2 linked regions of the Sus scrofa genome follow. The protein of the gene in region 2 interacts with the protein of the main gene of each other region in a biochemical or structural test. Links are inferred from orthologs where the notes say so. Each region holds a gene or a part of one and is shown on either strand. Other genes may lie near its edges.

Region 1 (3,646 bases), on a different chromosome or scaffold from region 2:
TGTTGGTGTTTCGAACCAAGGAAATAGAGTGCCGCGTGGCCCTGGAACTGCCCCTCTTTCAGGAGTGAAAGGTCTGCTGGGAGCCAAGGGTTCTGTGGTTCTGCTGGGCAGGGAGGCAGAATCTGCCCCCAAGGGGAGGGGAGGGGGTAGAAGGAGCCAGCTAGCGGCCCGTGGGGAGCTCCGAGAAAGCGTCCACCCTGGTTTCTCCTGTCCCTGGCTCTGAGGACCTGTGGGTCTGGGGGGCCTGGGTGGGTCACCTCCCCTTCAGCCCGGATTCTGGAAGGGGCGCCTCCCTGGAGGAGGGCGTCCTGCACTCTTCGCCTGGTGGGGAAGGGCTGGGGCGGGGTGGGTTCCGCTGCTTCCCAGGCATCTCTGAGCCTGCCTGGCATCTGACTTGGGGCCTGGGCGTGGGGCTGTGGGGGCCAGCTGGTTGAGGAGGTCTCTCCTGAGGGGCTGCTGGGTCCCTGCAGGAAAACATCATTGGGTCTCTTGATTCCCCAGCCTCTAGCCCTGCCCCTCTCAGGGACGACCCTGGGGTCAGGCCCCTCAGCCCTGGAGGGGGACCAGGAGCCAGCCTCCTCTGTCTTCTCTGGCTCCCCAGCTCCTCCTGAGCATCCTCAGGTACCTTACACCCCGGGGCATCTCCAGGCCCTGCCCCTCAGGTAACCAGCTCCCGCCCTTGGCGCCCCAGGGTCCTGGACGCCTGTGGACCCAGGAAGCCTGCCGTCCCTTCCCCGTGGGGGGTGGCCTCCCTGGGGCTGGGCCGTAGGTGACAGTGAGCGGGTGGGCCGGGCCGCAGCCTCCCTCAGCTCACCTTCCCCGCCCCTGCCCAGAGCGGGACAAGGAGAACCGGCACCGCAAGCGCAGCCACAGCCGCTCCAGAAGCCGGGACCGCAAGCGCCGCAGCCGGAGCCGGGACCGGCGCAACCGGGACCAGCGGAGCGCCTCCCGCGACAGGCGGCGGCGAAGGTACCGGCGGGGTCACTCTCGTCCCGGGGGCTCTGCGGCTTGTCTTTCTGGAGCTCGGGGTTCCCTGGCCTGGGCTTTCTCGGGTTTCCGGTGGGTCGTTGGTGCAGCAGCGGGCGCTCGGGTGTGGCTCGGGCTCCCTCCCGCAGGGGCTCCGTTGTCCTGCCTCTTCCCCTGCCTGGTCCTTGGGGGCCGTCCCGGGACCAGGGGGTTCTTGGAGCCCATCTCTGCCCCGCCCGCCCGGGCGGCTCTTCTCTCTTCTAACGCCTCTTCCCTCCCCTCCCTTGGCTCCTCTGTTCTCTCTGCCCCTCAGGTGAGGAAGGGCGGGACAGGCGAGGTTCTCCTGCCTCCTCCCACCTCAGGCTCCAGCTAGAGAGTGGTCTGTCGGGCCCTGCCTCCCTTCCTCTGGCCTGGGCGGGGGGCTGGGGGGAGACGCGGGGCCGAGGGGGCCTGCTTGCCTGGGGTTCACCTCGGCCCTGTCCCAGCCCTGGGGCTCAGTGCCCTGGGGGGTGGGGTGGTGAGTGGGGAAGACGAGGGTCCCCAGTCACCCCTCCCCATGCGTTTCCCTCCCACCCCCCAGCAAACCTTTGACCAGAGGCGCTAAAGAGGAGCACGGTGGATTGATGTGAGCTTCTCTTCCTGCCCCTTCCACCCCACGTCCAGTCCCCCACCTCCCTCTGGCCCACCTGCCCCGTCCCTGTCCAGCCCCGGCCCGAGCCCTGGGGAGAGAGTTCCCCCCGCCTTGGAACGGCCCCGTCCCGGATCCTCTCCCTCCTGGAGAGACCGCTGGGGTGGGGGGCAAGGGGCGCCTGGGGGACCCGCAGGCCCACCCTTGGTCAGACTGAGGTTGCCCCGCCCCGCTCTCCCTCGCCCTCCCCCAGCCGGTCCCCCCGTCATGAGAAGAAGAAGAAGGTCCGCAAGTACTGGGACGTGCCGCCGCCAGGCTTCGAGCACATCACCCCCATGCAGTACAAGGCCATGCAAGGTGGGCGCCTCTCTTTGGGGGCGGGGGGCTTTCGGGCCTCTGCCTTTGGAGTCCTTGGCGCGGTGGGGCCAGCGGGGAGCCGCCGAGGGCTGCGCTCCGTTGAGGTCCGTTGAGGAGCGTGCTGCTGCCCTGCGCGTCCACGGGCACCCTGCCATCCTCTGGTTCTCTTCTTTCCTCTCGAAGCTGCGGGTCAGATTCCAGCCACCGCCCTCCTCCCCACCATGACCCCTGATGGTCTGGCCGTGACCCCAACGCCCGTGCCTGTGGTCGGGAGCCAGATGACCAGGCAGGCCCGCCGTCTCTACGTGGGCAACATCCCCTTTGGCATCACTGAGGTACTGCCCTCCCCCTGCCCTGCCTCTCCCTGTCCCCCCTGTTCCTCCCCTCCCTCCCCTCCCTCCCCCAACCTGCACGGGTCAGACTCTGTTCCTGCAAGACCCCCCGGCCCCCTCCCAGACGGACGATGGAGTTGAGCCAGCCAGGGGCCGGGCTGGGGGTGGCCCGCTCCCTCCCTCCTCTCCCCTCCCGTCTCCCCTCCCCGCCTCCTCCAGCACCCAGGGATCAAGCACACACGTACCGTACCTACGCATCCACGGATCCGAATCCGTATGGAGAGACAGAGAGGGAGACTCGGACACACACACACACTCACACACACTCACGCTCACACTGACGCTCGCTCCCCTCCAGTTTCTCTGACACACCTCTTGTTCTCTGCCGCCTGTCCCGTCCTCTCCCCACACTCTCGTTTTTGATCGCCCTGAACTCCCCACCTTCCCCACCGCTCCTCTCCCATCCCCTCTCCCCCACCCCTTCCCGTGGCACCCCTGAGAATCCCGAGATCAAAGAGTTGTTTCCATTTCTCTTTAAAGTGAAATATTGTGGGGCTGAGATCCCTCGTAGCAACAAAAAGTTTGCTACCGTCGTTGAAGGCAAGTAAGGTCCATTCTGACTTTCTCAACCTGCACTTTGCTACATTTGATGAACCAGCCCCCGGACTCCAGGGCCAGATCCCTCCACATCACTCTTTTCTCCTCCCCTCCCTCCCCCCGCCCCTCCGCCCTCCCCGCCCTCCGCCCCCTCTGCCTCGGGTTTCTCTGTCCTGCCTGCTCTCGCTGCCCTCCCACTGTGCTGCCGTTTTCCTCTTGCTGTCACCTCGACGTCTGGTTTGTCGACTCACGTGTTTCTTCTCCTCGCTCTCTCTTGTTTCCTGACTCTTGGACGATCTCTCGCCTTTCCCCTGGTTGGGGCCCGTGGCTCTCCCCGACCTCCTGTCCTGCCTCCTGGACCCTGGCTGTCTCCTGCTGCCCCCCCCCCCCCCCCCGTTTCTCTCATCTTTCTTCTGCTTTTGTTCCTGCTGTGGTCTCTGTGCCCCGACCCCTACTCCATTGTTCCTTCCCTCCCACCCTGCCCTCGTCCCTCTCCCCTGACCCCCAAACCCCTCTGTGTCTCCCTCTCTCACCCTTCCCCTCCTCTCTCCACCTCCCCCCCGCCCCCCCTGTCTCCTCTTCCCTCTGCAGGAGGCCATGATGGATTTCTTCAACGCCCAGATGCGCCTGGGGGGGCTGACCCAGGCCCCCGGCAACCCCGTCTTGGCGGTGCAGATTAACCAGGACAAGAACTTTGCCTTCCTAGAGGTGAGCTGGGCGTGCGGTGGGGTCAGGCCATGCCCCCCTCTGCGGCAGCCCTCATTCC
Region 2 (3,646 bases):
CATGGAACTAATTTACAGACTTTCAGTTTTTCACTAAGGTTTTTCTGGAAGATGTGAGGTAAATAAAAAACATACAGGGAAAATGAACATAATAGCTATCGCAAATAATGTTAATACTCAATTACCCACAGTTTTAAATAATAAACCACTCCAAAAATGAAGAATGCTATATAAATACAAGTTTTCAAATATGCTATACTTAATAAAAATAGTATATTTCTATTCCACAAACATAAAAATTAAAATTTTTATATTAAAGACAAAGAGAAGCCTTCAATTTTTTCTTGGGGGGGGGGGTCTTTTTAGGGCTGCACCCATGGCATAAATAAGTTCCCAGGCTAGGAGTCAAATGTGGGATCCAAGCTGTGTCTGCAACCTAAACCACAGCTCACGGCAACACCAGATCCTTAACCCACTGAGCAAGGCCAGGGATAGAACTGACATCCTCTTGGATACTAGTCAGATTCTTACTGCTGAGCCATGACAGGAACTCTCACAAGGCTTCATTATTAAAGTTTTTCTTGCCTTTTTGTTCTAGTCCCAAATAAATAACTCAGTCTATTAACTACTGACCTATCTTCCACCTTACAAAAGTGTCATATTCATGATCTGGATTTAGCTTTACATAATCAGCATCTACTCTGGATTAGTTACTGCACTTGGCAGAAAGTCTAATGCAGAAACAGTAAACATATACCATGATCACCAAAAATCTTACTTGTATCTAGTTGTAGAAGTCATTTTCTCATGATTTTCAAGAAAACGTTGAAAGGATTCCTTAGCCTCTTTGTATTTGGATCTTGCTTCTTCTTTTTCTTCTTTTTCTGTCTGGACTTTATAAGCATTAAAGGCCTGCTTCTTTTCACTCAACTTTGCTAAAGCACTAAATAGAAAAATACAATGTAAGAATAAATGAAGGTTAAGATGATCAAACATTAGTGCTTTGAAAAAACAACAGATTTCATTCACAAATTAAGAATACTTAAGAAGTTATTAAAGATAAATCATTACAGAACATAATTTCTACTTAAAAAATATTTCTACTAACATCTGTAGCAGGGTAAATTGTATGACATGCCTTTTAGCTGTTTTGGTTCTTATCAGCCATCAAGCAACTCTACTACTGGTGTCCAAAATAACTGAAGACCATGAGGATGAAAAGTTATATTATTTTACACAATTTGCATTTTCTAGGCTTACTCTGCTCAAAGTGACAAGTAAATTTAAAAAACCAAAATATTACCTGTATCGTGGGTCATTAATAATCATTTTCATAGCTTGTTCCCATGAAGCATTTGATGGTACCCGCTGAAAATCATTTAATGGAAAATTAAAATTACATACAAATATAGTGAAAGTCATACAACAGAGAACAAAGTATAATATTCACTGCAAACGTCAAGTAATTCCCTTTGCAGGAGTTTGAGCTTGGATTGGGTGTTGCCATAGCTGTGGCACAGGCCTCAGTTGCAGCTCCAATTCAATCCCTAGCCTGGAAACTTCCGTATGCCACAGGTGCACCCAGAAAAAGAAAAACAAGAAAAACCGAAACCAAAATTTAAACAGACCATCAATACATTACGAATAAAACACCTTTTATTAAACACTGAGGTGGACTGTATGGTAGTACTCTGTACATATCTGCAGGAATGGGGGGGGGTGAAAATCAGTTTCACAAAAAAAGTACAATAAAAAAAGGACAAATATAGTTCATTTTCAATCTCAACAGTTTCTAAGATTAGATTTTTTTTTTGTCTTTTTAGTGCCGAACCCTTGGCATATGAAAGTTTCCAGGCTAGGGGATGAATGGGAGCTGCAGCTGCCACTAATGCTGGATCCTTAACTCACTGAACAAGGCCAGGGATCCTCAGGGATACTAGTCAGGTTCTTAACCTGCTCAGCCACAATGGGAAACCGTAAGATTAGTATTTAATTTTAACTTTTTATCTTGTCTTTTCTAGGGCCACACCTGCGGCACCTGGAGGTTCCCAGGCTAGGAGTTGAATCAGAGCTATAGCCATTGGCCTATGCCAGAGCCATAGCAAAACCAGATCCTAGCCACGTCTGCAACCTACACCACAGCTCACAGCAATGTCAGATCCTTAACCCACTGAACAGGGTCAGGGATTAAACCCGCAACTTCATGCTTCCTAGTCGGATTCGTTAACCATTGCACCACAATGGGAACTCCAGTATTTTAATTAATAAAAGCAATAAGGTACCAATTGCATTAAAGAATAATTTCACTTATTAGATATTTATTATGTGTCATATAAAAATATGTAACATAAGTACCTTTTCTTTCAGTAATTCTTTAAATGCTTGCTTTGCTTCCTCCTTTGTATTCCAAGTATATGTTTTTTTTGCTGGTTGGTTTTCTTCCTCTTCTTTTTTAGGAGTAAAACTAGAGAGAAATTTATACACTGTGTTTATAGTTTAAATAAACATTTGCTTCATTTAGGAAAATGTTCCAATTAGTATTTAAGTATTTCGTGTTGAGATAAAATTTGACAATTTTAGAATAAAGTATCCTATATGAGATACATAAATAAAAAAGGTTTTTTCTGTTACATTCAGTTATTAAGTCCTTCCACAAACACCTACACTACACCACCAGTTCCATTAGTCCACAACTTAAACTTAACGGCTTACAAAACTTCTTCAATGTCATTTTAGTGTTTAATAACTGAGCATTTGGGCAAGTGTACATAAAATATAATAAAGATGTAGAGATCAATCTAAAATGGGCTTGGCAAATGATGACCCACAGGCCAAACAAGTCTTCTGCCAACTTCTGTAAATAGTTTCAAAGGAACTGCTTAAGCGTTAATATATTGATTACGGCTGACTGTATACTACCAAAGCAGAAATTGAGTCACCATGAGACTATATAACCCACAAAAACAAAAGTATTTACATTTTGAAGGCCTATGAAAAAGTTTTCCAAACACTGATCTCAAATAGAAAGAATTACCCAAACAACTGTACTTGCCGAGAGACCTTTACGAAAATAAATTTATGAAAATAATCCTAACAAGAGAATGAAGAAAAAACAAAACAAAAAACAAACCAAGAAACACATAAAAAGCCCACCACCTTTAAATTGAATACTTAGGGGATGATACTGAAATATATACTAACAAAACTACACATATAGTCACACCCTCTGAACCAGGTAACCTTATTTGGGAAAATTTATTTAAAATTATCAAAAATACTGTAAAAAGCATAGCTGGAATTTACCAGCTATAAATGATCCATATCAAAGTAATTAAAATGTAAAGATTATTATAATGACTCAAGTACTATAATAAGGAAACAGGAAAAAAGGAAGCAAAATACAACTATTTGTTGAAAAATTGTGAAAAACAAATTATTGTGAAAAAAAAAACATTAAGTGCAATTCAAAAGAAGTAAAAAAATATTACTCCAAAAGGCCTAAATGTCAATCATTAGGTAAACACTGATATTAATGTATATATTAATAATAAAATAATGACATTATTCAACTTGATGGAGTATGATCTCTAGTGATATAGTTGTCTGATACTTTTTAAAATTTAAAATATGCACATATTTTAAATGCAGAGAATAAGGCAGAAAGATATTAAAGTGCTATCACTCTTTTATGCCTTCAGCTATACTA

What was found. The genes of interacting proteins can lie anywhere in the genome.
Region 1: the proteins of PRPF40A (region 2) and U2AF2 form a complex in vitro, tested with the Homo sapiens proteins (2 studies listed by BioGRID). The link is inferred for Sus scrofa from reciprocal best matches to the Homo sapiens genes PRPF40A and U2AF2.

Annotation. Positions count from the first base shown.
Region 1 is NC_010448.4:59,777,117-59,780,762, forward strand, and holds part of U2AF2 (U2 small nuclear RNA auxiliary factor 2), read left to right. Parts: intron 1-833; coding exon 834-969; intron 970-1,546; coding exon 1,547-1,591; intron 1,592-1,847; coding exon 1,848-1,951; intron 1,952-2,134; coding exon 2,135-2,286; intron 2,287-3,471; coding exon 3,472-3,588; intron 3,589-3,646. UniProt on the Homo sapiens protein: Plays a role in pre-mRNA splicing and 3'-end processing. By recruiting PRPF19 and the PRP19C/Prp19 complex/NTC/Nineteen complex to the RNA polymerase II C-terminal domain (CTD), and thereby pre-mRNA, may couple transcription to splicing.
Region 2 is NC_010457.5:60,404,835-60,408,480, forward strand, and holds part of PRPF40A (pre-mRNA-processing factor 40 homolog A), read right to left. Parts: intron 2,405-3,646; coding exon 2,296-2,404; intron 1,309-2,295; coding exon 1,244-1,308; intron 884-1,243; coding exon 719-883; intron 1-718.